3 linked regions of the Ovis aries genome follow. The main gene of each other region encodes a partner of the protein of the gene in region 3 in a complex. Links are inferred from orthologs where the notes say so. Each region holds a gene or a part of one and is shown on either strand. Other genes may lie near its edges.

Evidence for each region.
Region 1: the proteins of F7 (region 3) and POGLUT1 are in contact, whole or in part, in a crystal structure (PDB 5L0S), measured with the Homo sapiens proteins. The link is inferred for Ovis aries from reciprocal best matches to the Homo sapiens genes F7 and POGLUT1. Residues at the interface, in NP_000122.1 of Homo sapiens: Asp108, Gln109, Cys110, Ala111, Ser112, Ser113, Pro114, Cys115, Gln116, Asn117, Gly118, Gly119, Cys121, Gln126, Ser127, Tyr128, Arg139, Asn140; in NP_689518.1 of Homo sapiens: Met103, Phe104, Pro105, Ser106, Arg107, Arg132, Asp133, Pro171, Ala172, Trp174, Pro178, Thr179, Thr214, Asn239, Gln240, Ala241, Val274.
Region 2: the proteins of F7 (region 3) and F3 are in contact, whole or in part, in a crystal structure (PDB 6R2W), measured with the Homo sapiens proteins. The link is inferred for Ovis aries from reciprocal best matches to the Homo sapiens genes F7 and F3. Residues at the interface, in NP_000122.1 of Homo sapiens: Leu73, Lys78, Phe91, Arg96, Leu99, Phe100, Ser103, Ser120, Lys122, Gln124, Leu125, Ile129, Cys130, Phe131, Cys132, Leu133, Pro134, Phe136, Glu137, Gly138, Arg139, Lys145, Gln148, Ile150, Val152, Asn153, Glu154; in NP_001984.1 of Homo sapiens: Thr49, Asn50, Lys52, Ile54, Glu56, Trp77, Lys78, Ser79, Lys80, Phe82, Tyr83, Glu88, Asp90, Asp93, Gly141, Gln142, Thr144, Glu162, Arg163, Thr164, Leu165, Arg167, Phe172, Tyr188, Trp190, Lys191, Ser192, Ser194, Ser195, Gly196.

The regions. Positions count from the first base shown.
Region 1 is NC_056054.1:185,127,223-185,130,853, forward strand, and holds part of POGLUT1 (protein O-glucosyltransferase 1), read left to right. Parts: intron 1-3,161; coding exon 3,162-3,283; intron 3,284-3,631. UniProt on the Homo sapiens protein: Dual specificity glycosyltransferase that catalyzes the transfer of glucose and xylose from UDP-glucose and UDP-xylose, respectively, to a serine residue found in the consensus sequence of C-X-S-X-P-C.
Region 2 is NC_056054.1:71,635,805-71,639,435, forward strand, and holds part of F3 (tissue factor), read right to left. Parts: intron 2,581-3,631; coding exon 2,402-2,580; intron 1,648-2,401; coding exon 1,488-1,647; intron 152-1,487; coding exon 15-151; 3' UTR 1-14. UniProt on the Homo sapiens protein: Initiates blood coagulation by forming a complex with circulating factor VII or VIIa. The [TF:VIIa] complex activates factors IX or X by specific limited proteolysis.
Region 3 is NC_056063.1:85,832,315-85,836,705, reverse strand, and holds the start of F7 (coagulation factor VII), read right to left. Parts: upstream 2,823-4,391; 5' UTR 2,798-2,822; coding exon 2,728-2,797; intron 1,602-2,727; coding exon 1,429-1,601; intron 1-1,428. UniProt on the Homo sapiens protein: Initiates the extrinsic pathway of blood coagulation. Serine protease that circulates in the blood in a zymogen form. Factor VII is converted to factor VIIa by factor Xa, factor XIIa, factor IXa, or thrombin by minor proteolysis.

The sequences.
Region 1 (3,631 bases), on a different chromosome or scaffold from region 3:
GTAGGTCTTCATAAAACTGTTCAACTTCAGTTTCTGCAGCGTTACTGGTTGGGGCGTAGACTTGGATTACCGTGATATTGAATGGTTTGCCTTGGAAACAAACAGAGATCATTCTGTCGTTTTTGAGATTGCATCCAAGTACTGCATTTCGGACTCTTGTTGACTATGATGGCTACTCCATTTCTTCTGAGGGATTCCTGCCCACGGTAGTAGATATAATGGTCATCTGAGTTAAATTCACCCATTCCACTCCATTTTAGTTCGCTGATTCCTAGAACGTCAACATTCACCCTTGCCCTCTCTTGTTTGATCACTTCCAATTTGCCTTGATTCATGGACCTGACATTCCAGGTTCTTATGCAATATTGCTCTTTACAACGTCGAATCTTGCTTCTATCACCAGTCCCATCCACAACTGGGTATTGTTTTTGCTTTGGCTCCATCCCTTCATTCTTTCTGGAGTTATTTCTCCACTGATCTCCAGTAGCATATTGGGCACCTAATGACCTGGGGAGTTCCTCTTTCAGTATCCTGTCATTTTGCCTTTTCATACTGTTCATGGGGTTCTCAAGGCAAGAATACTGAAGTGGCTTGCCATTCCCTTCTCCAGTGGACCACATTCTGTCAGACCTCTCCACCATGAGCTTTTGTGTAATAAAGTTTTATTAAAGTATAAAAGAGATAGAGAAAGCTTCTGACATAGGCATCAGAAGGGGGCAGAAAGAGTACCCGCTTGTTAGTGTTAGCAATGAAGTTATATACTCTCCAGTGAATCCAAAAAATGTCTGGAGGTTGTAAAGACCTCACCAGACCTACTCCCATAATTTACATTTTAAGATAACAGAATTAGCCAGAAGGTTTAATCCAGAGACTGTCCTCAGGCAGAATACATTGTTGTTATATAATCCTAAGAAGAGGTGGAAGAACTGTACAAAAAAGATCTTCATGACCCAGATAATCATGATGATGTGATCACTCATCTAGAGCCAGACATCCTGGAATGTGAAGTCAAGTGGGCCTTAGAAAGCATCACTACGAACAAAGCTAGTAGAGGTAATGGAATTCCAGTTGAGCTGTTTCAAATCCTGAAAGATGATGCTGTGAAAGTGCTGCACTCAATATGCCAGCAAATTTGGAAAACTCAGCAGTGGCCACAGGACTGGAAAAGGTCAGTTTTCACTCCAGTTCCAAAGAAAGGCAATGCAAAACAATGCTCAAACTACCGCACAATTGCACTCATCTCACACGCTAGTAAAGTAATGCTCAAAATTCTCCAAGCCAGGCTATAGCAATATGTGAACCGTGAACTCCCTGATGTTCAAGCTGGTTTTAGAAAAGGCAGAAGAACCAGAGATCAAATTCCCAACATCCGCTGGATCACTGAAAAAGCAAGAGAGTTCCAAAAAAACATCTCTTTCTGCTTTATTGACTATGCCAAAGCCTTTGACTGCGTGGATCACAATAAACTGTGAAAAATTCTGAAAGAGATGGGCATACCAGACCACCTAACCTACCTCTTAAGAAATTTGTATGCAGGTCAGGAAGCAACAGTTAGAACTGGACATGGAACAACAGACTGGTTCCAAATAGGAAAAGGAGTATGTCAAGGCTGTATATTGTCACCCTGCTTATTTAACTTCTATGCAGAGTACATCATGAGAAACGCTGGACTGGAAGAAACACAAGCTGGAATCAAGATTGCTGGGAGAAATATCAATAGCCTCAGATATGCAGATGACACCACCCTTATGGCAGAAAGTGAAGAGAAGCTAAAAAGCCTCTTGAATGTGAAAGAGGAGAGCGAAAAAGTTGGCTTAAAGCTCAACATTCAGAAAACGAAGATCTTGGCATCTGGTCCCGTCACTTCATGGGAAATAGATGGGAAACAGTAGAAACAGTGTCAGACTTTATTTTTTTGGGCTCCAAAATCACTGCAGATGGTGACTGCAGCCATGAAATTAAAAGACACTTACTCCTTGGAAGAAAAGTTATGACCAACCTAGATAGCATATTCAAAAGCAGAGACATTACTTTGCCGACTAAGGTCCGTCTAGTCAAGGCTATGGTTTTTCCAGTGGTCATGTATGGATGTGAGACTTGGACTGTGAAGAAGGCTGAGCACCGAAGAATTGATACTTTTGAACTGTGGTGTTGGAGAAGACTCTTGAGAGTCCCTTGGACTGGAAGGAGATCCAACCAGTCCATTCTGAAGGAGATCAACCCTGGGATTTCTTTGGAAGGAATGATGCTAAAGCTGAAACTCCAGTACTTTGGCCACCTCATGTGAAGAGTTGACTCATTGGAGAAGACTCTGATGCTGGGAGGGATTGGGGGTAGGAAGAGTAGGGGACGACTGAAGATGAGATGGCTGGATGGCATCATGGACTCGATGGACTCATGGACATCTGAGTGAACTCCGGGAGATGGTGATGGATAGGGAGGCCTGGCGTGCTGCGATTCATGGGGTCGCAGAGTCGGACACGACTGAGCAACTGAACTGAACTGAACACTTACTGAGTATTTACTATGTGTCACTGTTCTAAGTTTTCTACATGTATTAACTCATTTAATATTTAAAACAAGCCTGTTAGATAGATACCATTATTGATATTATCATTTCTCTAGTTATAAAGATAAGGAAACGGAAGCCTAGGAAGATTAAGTAACTTGCCTAGAGTTGGAAAGAGGTGGAGTCAGATAATCTTTCTCAAGAGCCCACACTCTTAACTCTTGCATTGTATTTCCTAATTCTTGCTCCTAAAAGACTTATCTAGGAAATAATTAAGAACTGGTAGGACCATATACACTCCAAGTATGATATCAGTTAAGAGATGAGAAAGCTATGTGGTCATTCAGAATTGGGTATATCATTTCCTTAAACTAAAACCTCCAACAGTATATGTCTTCTAGAAAAATAGAACTTTTGGGTACTGGAAAAGTTGACATTTAGTGTGATTTCATATTCTGGGATTCAGTCAGCCCATGATTTTTAACCCATGATCATTTTTGCCTTTTAGCATCCAGAGTCTAGACTTGGATATGTCTTTGATGGTATAACGCAGGGGCAAGGCCTTTTCCAGATCCCGTGACATGAGTGCAGTTTGCTGCTTCTTCCTCTGCTCCAAGACTGATTTAAAATAACCTCTCTGTTTCTGTTGAAGACATCAGAGTACCATGATATCATGTATCCTGCTTGGACATTTTGGGAAGGAGGACCCGCTGTTTGGCCAATATATCCTATGGGTCTTGGACGGTGGGACCTGTTCAGGGAAGATCTGGTAAGGTAGGTCCTCTGCTGCTGGTAGGTCCTCTAGAGAGGTTTTATTTGTCCCTCTTTTTGGGTCACCTTGAAGTAAATGGTTAAGTATAGACAATTATTTTCTCTAAAATGACTAACTTTTAAGCTAAAAGTAAAAGACACACAAAAAAACTTTATAGCATAAGCAATTTTATATGTGTATAGAAGTATTTACATATCCATAGAAAAAGAGCCAAAGAACTTACCCTAAAATGTCAGCAGTGCTTCTGTGGGAGGGATTATAGAAGCCTCTTTTTTTCTTCTTTAAATATTTCCATACTTTTAAGATTCTTTAAGAGTGAATTCCTTTTATAAGTAGGAAAGAATAAATGA
Region 2 (3,631 bases), on a different chromosome or scaffold from region 3:
AAGAGCAGGATCTTTTATGCAGCGTTGAGGGGCATGTTCTCCTTCCCACTTTGCCCTGCTCTCACCTTCCTGCACTTGTGCAGAGTCACAGACAGGACGACGATGAAGATGATGATCACAAGCATCACTGCTCCAATGATGAAGAAAAGTTCTGAAAAATAAAAGGTACCAAGTCAACTCAGAGAGAGAGCCTGAATCTCATTTTTCAGTGGGCAGAACCCAGGGCATAACCCCAAATTATACCATCCAGCTTTTGTGTAACTTGAAATCTCCTTTCTCCACCACACATTTCTGTTAGGAAAGAATCTCTCAAACCCTAGATGTTTGCAGGCAATTGACAACAATGAAAAAGCATTTAACAAACTGGATAATGCTCACAGTCTAGAAAGATACATGTAGATGGAAGCAAGAATAGCTGTTAGAAACAAGTGGCTAAAGATGATGCCGAGCTGGGTAGCAATGATTATAGTAGAAGATGAACTATCAGTGCAAAGAGAGATACAGAGTGCTACCCAGATTCACATAAAGAAGACATAACTGGTTGGGGCAATAAGAAGGCTTCCTGGTAGAGGTGGCACATGAAACGATTCTCAGAGGACACATTTCAGCAGAGAGAGAAGAGGCAGGGGAAGCAGTGATCTAGGTGTGCGCGAAGACAGCGAGGCAGGGGAACTCAAGCTGGCTTTAGGAAGATGGATGTGAGGGCTGCGGGTGTGATGGCCCAAATGGTGCAGGACCTGGGAGAAGGAGAGCCCTTTGCTTTTGTCATTGTCAGTTAACAGGAGAGAATTTTTAAAGTGACTTTAAAATATTTAAACTACCTCTCAGCAAGGCACTAGGTCATTATTACTATCCTCTCACTCTTCTGTTCCCTTACTCAGAGCACAATCCCAATCAAGCCTGGAGGCAGATTCCTGGGCTCTCAGTCTCGTGCACATGTCTGAGCCTCCATGGCACCTCCAGACAAGATCCACTCCTCACCTGGTGTCTGTGCTGTGGTGTGGCACATGTGTGCACACGTGTGCCAATGAGGCACACACATGTACACATGTATCTGCTAGCCCCAATCCCTTTGCTTCATGGGTTATGACCCTGGGCCAACAGCAGCCCATGATAGGTGCTCACAAACGTCTATGGGGTGTTGCTATACCCAGTTCCCCAGGTGAGCTGGTGAAGCTCACCACAAACCAGGAGTATGAAAAAATGCCCAGAGAAATCTGTGATTTGATACTAAATCCTAAACATCTACCATGGGCCCAGGGCTCGCTCAGCTTAGTGCATGCTAGGTGCTAGAGAAAAAAAAAAAAAAAAACTAAAAAACACCTGTTAATACAAGGGAATGACACAGAAACTAAACGTCTAAAATCATGAGTACCCTCCCCCTGCCCCAACCACAAGAAACCCTGAAGACAGTACGTCTAGTCCTGAGGGTGTAGCTAGTCCCGCGGAAGGCAGCCCTGCCTCCCAGACCGCGGGCAGAGCCTCACCTGTGGCCAGACCTTTCTCGTGGCTAGTGCACACGATGGGACTTTCTGGACTCTTCTGGTTAGCTCTTCGTGATAGAATCACTGCTTGAACATGGAAACAATAGTTTTCGCCTTTATCCACATCAATCAAAAACCCATTAGTGTTTGTCGTGGCCTTTTTCTGTTAAAAGATAAGAGTTCTTTATTCATCCAGGCTCAGAGTGAATTCTGTTGCCTTTACTAAGTCCGTGTGGTAGTAAAATGAAAGTGTTAGTCGCTCAGTTGTGTCTGACTCTGCAACCCCATGGACTGTAGCCCGCCAGGCTCCTTAGTCCATGGAATTCTCCAGTCAAGAATACTGGAGTGGGTAGCCATTCCCTTTCCCAAGGGATCTTTCCAGCTCCGGGATAGAACCTGGGTCTCCTGTATTGCAGGCAGATTCTTTATGGCCTGAGCCACCAGGGAAGCCCAGCCTATGTGGACACATCTGACATAAAGATTGGAAGTCAGTTGGCTCATCAAGCTCCCCCTGATAACTGCTAAGGATTTTTTCCCCCAAGGATGAAGACACTTTGGATACAGTCAACCCAATATTTAGCCCCATTAGAAGATATCTGCAAGAAAGGAAAAAAGGAAAGAAGTACTAATTGTTGAATGAAAAACAAATTCTGTCTCTGGGATCCTCAATAGAAGAAGAAATGTGGGAGCTAGTGGGAACCTTAGAGATGACTGGTCTGCCCCTTGGCTGGGAATCTGGGTACCCGAGGCGGGCCAGTCCAAAGCAGCTGAAGTCACAGGCAGAACCAAGACAGCAGTCTGCTTCCCACTCTACAACACTGCCCTGTCAACAACTTGCTTTGATGTTTGACTTGGAGAAGAAGTGAAATCAAGGATTTGCAATTTTTAAAAAGTCATAAAAACAAAAGAATGCTCACCTTTCCTGTACTGGAAGCTTTCCAGTAATAAAGTGTATAATTCAAGTCCTTGCCAAAAACATCCCGGAGGCTTAGAAATTTGCCGTCTGCTCTGACTAACGTACGTGCATCTTGTACGGTCACATTCAGTTTTGTCCCAACTTGTTCAAAACTCCGAATTGTTGGCTGTCCAAGGTTTGCTAAAACACAGAAAATGAGCTTCGTTGGGACTAAAGAGTTCTATACAAAGTAGAACCCCATTGAGTTATCATGGTTAATAACCACCTAGTCATCCCTCATGAAATACCTCAAAGAACCAGCTCCCTGGCACCGGAGCTGAACCAAGAGACATTCTACAGCAGTGCTGTCTAGCGGAAATGTACTGGGAGCCACAGATGTCACTTTAAATCTATCTCCTTGTGGTCTCATTAGAAAAAGTAAAAAGGTGAGTGAAGTTAATCTATTTCATTTAACCCAATATGGCTAAAATATTATAACTTTAACATTCAATCAATATGAAAACTTTGAGATCTTTCTCAAAATCCAGTGTAAATTTTACACATACGGCATTAGCTGACATTTCAAGCGCTCAACAGCCACATGTGGTTAACCAAACAGCTGCAAAAGATTCCATATTTTAGATACAATAGAGGCTGTGGGAAAGCCCACGAAATGTCCTTGGTATCTCAAAAAATCACTTTTAACCACCAGGTCTCTTTGATGGCTCAATTATCTCATGTGCTTTGGTTGAATAATAGTGAAACAAATCCTCATAATTCAATAGGAATTATAGGCAAGGATGTGTGTGTATGAGCACACAGAAATACAAACTATTTTCTCTCTTGCACCAAAAAAGGATATGAAGTAGCTTACAAGAAGCTCAAGAACGGGGCTTGCCTGTTGGCTCAGTGTTAAAGAATCTGCCGGCCAATGCAGGGGACAGGGACTCGATCCCTGATCTGGTTAGATCCCACATGCCTCAGAGCAACTACGCCCTTGTGCCGCAACTACTGAGCCTGCGCTCCAGAGCCCAGAAACCACAGTCACTGAGGCCATGCACCCTAGAGCTGGTCTCCACAAGAGGAGCCATCGAAAAGAGAAGCCTGTGCACTGCACCTAGAGAGGGGCCCGTGCAGCAAGGAGGGCCCAGCACAGCCAAAAATAAAAATAAATGGAAATTATTTTAAAAGATCCTCATGAACTATAAAAGAAATCATGAGGATGCTGCCCAAGGAGGGAGACTAAATATCA
Region 3 (4,391 bases):
GGAGGCGCCGGGCGGCTGGGGCTTCCGACCAGCCCTCCCAGTGGGCTCTGGAAGCCACACCGCTCCTGTGGAGACAGGTGGGTTCATCCAGGGAAGCGAGTTTTTTCTCTAATACCCGCCCCTCCCATTGCTAAGGCCACAGAGGTCTGAATCTCCTCTCCCAAGTTCCAACCCTAGGCTTCAGCACCAGCCCTGCCATGTCGGAGCTGTGAACGTGGGTGAGACCCCACACTCCCCGAGCCTCTGGGCTGCCCCCGATGCTGTGCTGACAGTCCAGACACCCGCTGACCAAGGAGAATGTGGGAAAGACACGTGAAAGTGCCCTGCCAGTTCCAGGGGCCTCTTCAGTAACAGGGATTCCCCAGGGATCTTTAGGCCAATGAAAAACAGCTCTGTTGCTGTGAGAACACACCAAGGTGAAATCTGCTGGAAGGTTCTGAAAACCACAATCCACTCCGGTTCTCCTGCCTGAGAACCATGGACAGGCGAGCCCGGTGGCTACAGTGCGTGGGGTCGCAGAGAGGCAGACACGACTGAGCGACTCAAACACACACACAGACGCAAGGGGTGACCGTCCTTAGCGCGGCGGGGAAGGGCCGTGGGAGCCCTGCCTGCGAGTGCAGAGTGTGCGCCGTGCCAGGTGCGTGTTCCATGCGTGTGAGACGTGTGTCGTGTGTGTGATGCGTGTCCCATGCCAGGTGTGGGTCCCATGCATGTGAGACGTGTGTCCTGTGCGTGTGAGACATGGGTCCCATGCGTGTGAGACATGTGTCCTGTGTGTGATGCGTGTCCTGTGCCAGGTGTGGGTCCCATGCATGTGAGACGTGTGTCCTGTGCGTGTGAGACGTGGGTCCCATGCGTGTGAGACGTGTGTCCTGTGTGTGATGCGTGTCCCATGCCAGGTGTGGGCCCCATGCGTGTGAGACGTGTGTCCTGTGTGTGATGCGTGTCCCATGCCAGGTGTGGGTCCCATGCGTGTGAGACGTGTGTCCCATGTGGGGTGTCCCTCGAGTGTGTGGGGAGAGGGGGTCCTGTCTCTGGCCTCCTGATCCTCAGCCCCCTGGAAGGAGACAGTTTCAGCAGGGACCTCTCTGCTCGTGGGCGGGAGGGGAGGCCCGCCCCACCTGCTCCGCCCCGCTGGGGGAGGCACAGGCTCCCTAGTTGCGCCCTCCCCACTCGCGCATCCCTGAGGCGGCCCTGGCCGGGGTCGCCGATGGCTCCAATGGGTCTCTGAGGGCTGCTGGACAGGTGGCCCTGCCCGGGGCCTGGACGGCTTACGGGGTCGGGGGCCATCCTCAGGGGGGTGAGGGCACAGGAAACTGCTTCTGGATGAGGGGTGAGGATGCGCAGGGGGTCTTGGCATGGGGAGACCCCGGCCCCTGGCGCCCAGAGCCCGCCACCCGCCCCCGGCCCGCCGGGTGAGCTCACCGTCCTCTCCTCGTTGCGGAAGATCTCACGGGCCTCCTCGAAGGAGCAGAGCTCCTCCTTGCACTCCCGCTCCAGCGAGCCCGGCCGCAGCTCCTCCAGGAACCCGTTGGCACGCCGGGGCCGATGCAGGACGCTGAGGGCCTGCTCCTGGGGCAGGAAGACTGGGGGGCACGCTGTGAGACACGGGGGCGACGGCACCATCCCCCCACCTGTAACAGCACCTCCCCACCACCCTGCCCCCCCATGATGCGATCACAGGCCCCTGCCCCCCCTCGGTGATGGGATCACAGGCCCCCTGACCCCCCTCGGTGATGGGATCACAGGCCCTCTGCCCCCCACCCCGGTGATGGGATCACAGGCCCCTGCCCCCCACCCCGGTGATGGGATCACAGGCCCCCTGCCCCCCACCCCGGTGATGGGATCACAGGCCCCCTGCCCACCCCGGTGGTGGGATCACAGGCCTCCCACCCACAGCCTGGCTAGTTTGCAGCAGGAGCGTTTCTCACGGCTGCCAACGGGCAGCACCGCACAGGCTTCATATGGGAGGAGAAGGCGACATGTTTAATTATAACATGTCCACGCCCTTAACCGGGTCCCTTCACTTCCAGTTTATCCTAAGGAGATGCTCTGAGCCCCGCAGACACGTGGCCGCTGGGAGAGCTGCAGACACTGGCAGCGCTAACGACCCACCCCCGGCGACCCCAGGCGGACAAAGACGGTTAAACAGGAAGGACCCGGGGGGCCACCGGCACTGGAGCAGGCCTGCGGGTGGGGCCCCGCAGCCGGTGTGGGCGCCGGGGCAGACGTGGACGGGTCTAGGGGATGGTGTCGGCACCTGGCTTCCGCCTCGGCCACCCCTCGGGGCTGGGGAATCACGGTGGTGACCGCTCACAGAGCCGCCCGCCCGTGTTCCCACTCAGGCCTCTCCGCGTTCGTGGGTGGGGGTCGTGTTCACTGCCGCGGTGGCTGAGCACCAGGCGCAGCATCTGTGCCCTGTCCCTGGGAGAGGGGGTCCACCAGCGAGCGGCTGAGAGCAGAGCGGGAGACGGGTCGCCTCTGAGCCCGCGTCGGCCTGGGGGGCGGTGGAGGCAGGGGAGGGCCCGCCGTGGCCAGGGAGCCTGCCCCCAGGCGTCTGGGAGGGGACTGGGCTCCAGGGGCTCCGCTCATCTTTTGAAAGGCAGGCAGGTCAGAGAGGACCCTCCAGCCAGGCTCCCGGCAGACGGGAGTGCCTACCATGCAGGCCAGCTTTGGGGGCAGCTGGCCTTCCACGGGGTTAATGGGGAACCTCCCCCCACTTACCTGCCTGCAGGGACCCCCGCAGGCTGAGCAGAAAGCAGAGGAGGGCCAGAGCCGTGGCCTGGGGCAGCATGGTAGGGTCCTAGGTCGCTCAGGCTGTTGACTTTCCCGGGGCGGGCAAAGTTCTCCCAGAGCCGGAGGCGGTGGGGGAGGGTGCTGCAGTCCTGGCGCAGGGCCTGCGGACGGGGGCTGGCCGGGCCGCCCCACGGGCTCCGTACCCAAGACTCCGCGGTGCGTGTCTGGCGTGTGCCGCTCTGGGGAGGCTGCTGGGGAGGAGTGGTGCCCGCTGCCCTGTGATGGCCCCGGCAGGGCGGCGGGCCCGCGGTGTGACTGTGAGCGCGCTGCAGAGTGGTCCTCCTGGCTCGGGGGGCACGGGGGAGGGGCGTGCCCCCAAGCAGCCCCTGTGGCGTCTCAGCCCCACGCGGGTCCCTTGGGCCCTCCTGCCCCTGGGCCGCAGAGGGGGGTGACCAGCTGCCCCGGCTGCCGGGCACGGACAGGTTTCTCAGGACCCTGGACTTTCAGGGTGAAGTCGGGGTGCCCAGGGCCACTGGGCTGGTGGTCTCCCTGCGGGGGCCCCTCAGGTGTCCGGTCTCCTCAGGAGGCTCCCCTTTCCTGTTAACAGTGGGCTGGGGACACCTGCCCTGTGCCTTCCTCTGTGCGGGGGTGACGGGGCCCAGCCGTCCCTGCAGGTCCCGGGTGCTCCCTCTCCGAGAAGAAGACAGCCCTCTGCTGATGGCCTCTGGACTCTCTGCTCGTCACTATCAGTAACTACCAGTTCCTCAGGACCCAGGTGTAGTGGAATTTGTGAAGGATGTTGGGGGGACTCCGAGCCCCTCGGGGACACGAGGCAGGTGTAGCCGCTCTGGGCTCAGCTCCCTGGGGGCCCTGGCTCCGTCTTCTCCAGCTCTGGAGGGGCTCACCCCTCTGAGCCTCACTCTCCTCACGGGGCAGGGGGGCTGGCGAGGCCTGCCGAGAGCTGGGGGCGCCCTGTGTCCTGTGAAGGCTCTAGAAGGGCCCCCGCCCCCGCGCCATGAGCGGCCAGCATCCCAGCCTCCTCCCACCCCAGCCACCACCTTCTCAGGCCAAGCGCCTCGCAGCCACTGGATTCCTCGTGTGCCCTCCTAGCTGCCCATGCAGCCCGCGCCTGGCGGCTCCCAGCCACAAGGGACTAGCCTGTCCCAGGTCTGGGTGCCGGTGTTGGAGGGCTGCGCTCCCTCCGAGGCTCTGGGGAGGGTCCTTTCACCTCTTCCAGCTCCCGAGGCGCCAGTGGCCTTTGGGCCTGGCCACACTGAGCGGACAGTTTCTGCCTCTGCTGCCCTCTGTGTGTGTGTGTGAATCTCCTGCTTTTTCAAGAACACCAGTCATTGGACAGGAGACACTGCAACCCCGTCTCAACCTGCTGCTCCTGCAGTGACCCCGTCTCAACCTGCTGCGCCTGCAGTGACCCCGTCTCTAAGCAGGTTGCCTTCTGGTGTTCTGGATAGAGGGGTTTCTTAGGGGCTGCTCTCTGCCCAGAGCCCCTGATTTCCCTTGAGCAGAGCTGAGCTGAGCCTGTGTTTGCAGCCGCACATGCGGCATCCTGCGCGCAGGACCAGCAGGGACAGGCTCCTTCTGTGGCTTCTCCAGGCATCACCACTGAGCTGGTTTCCACAGACAGACGCCCTGCG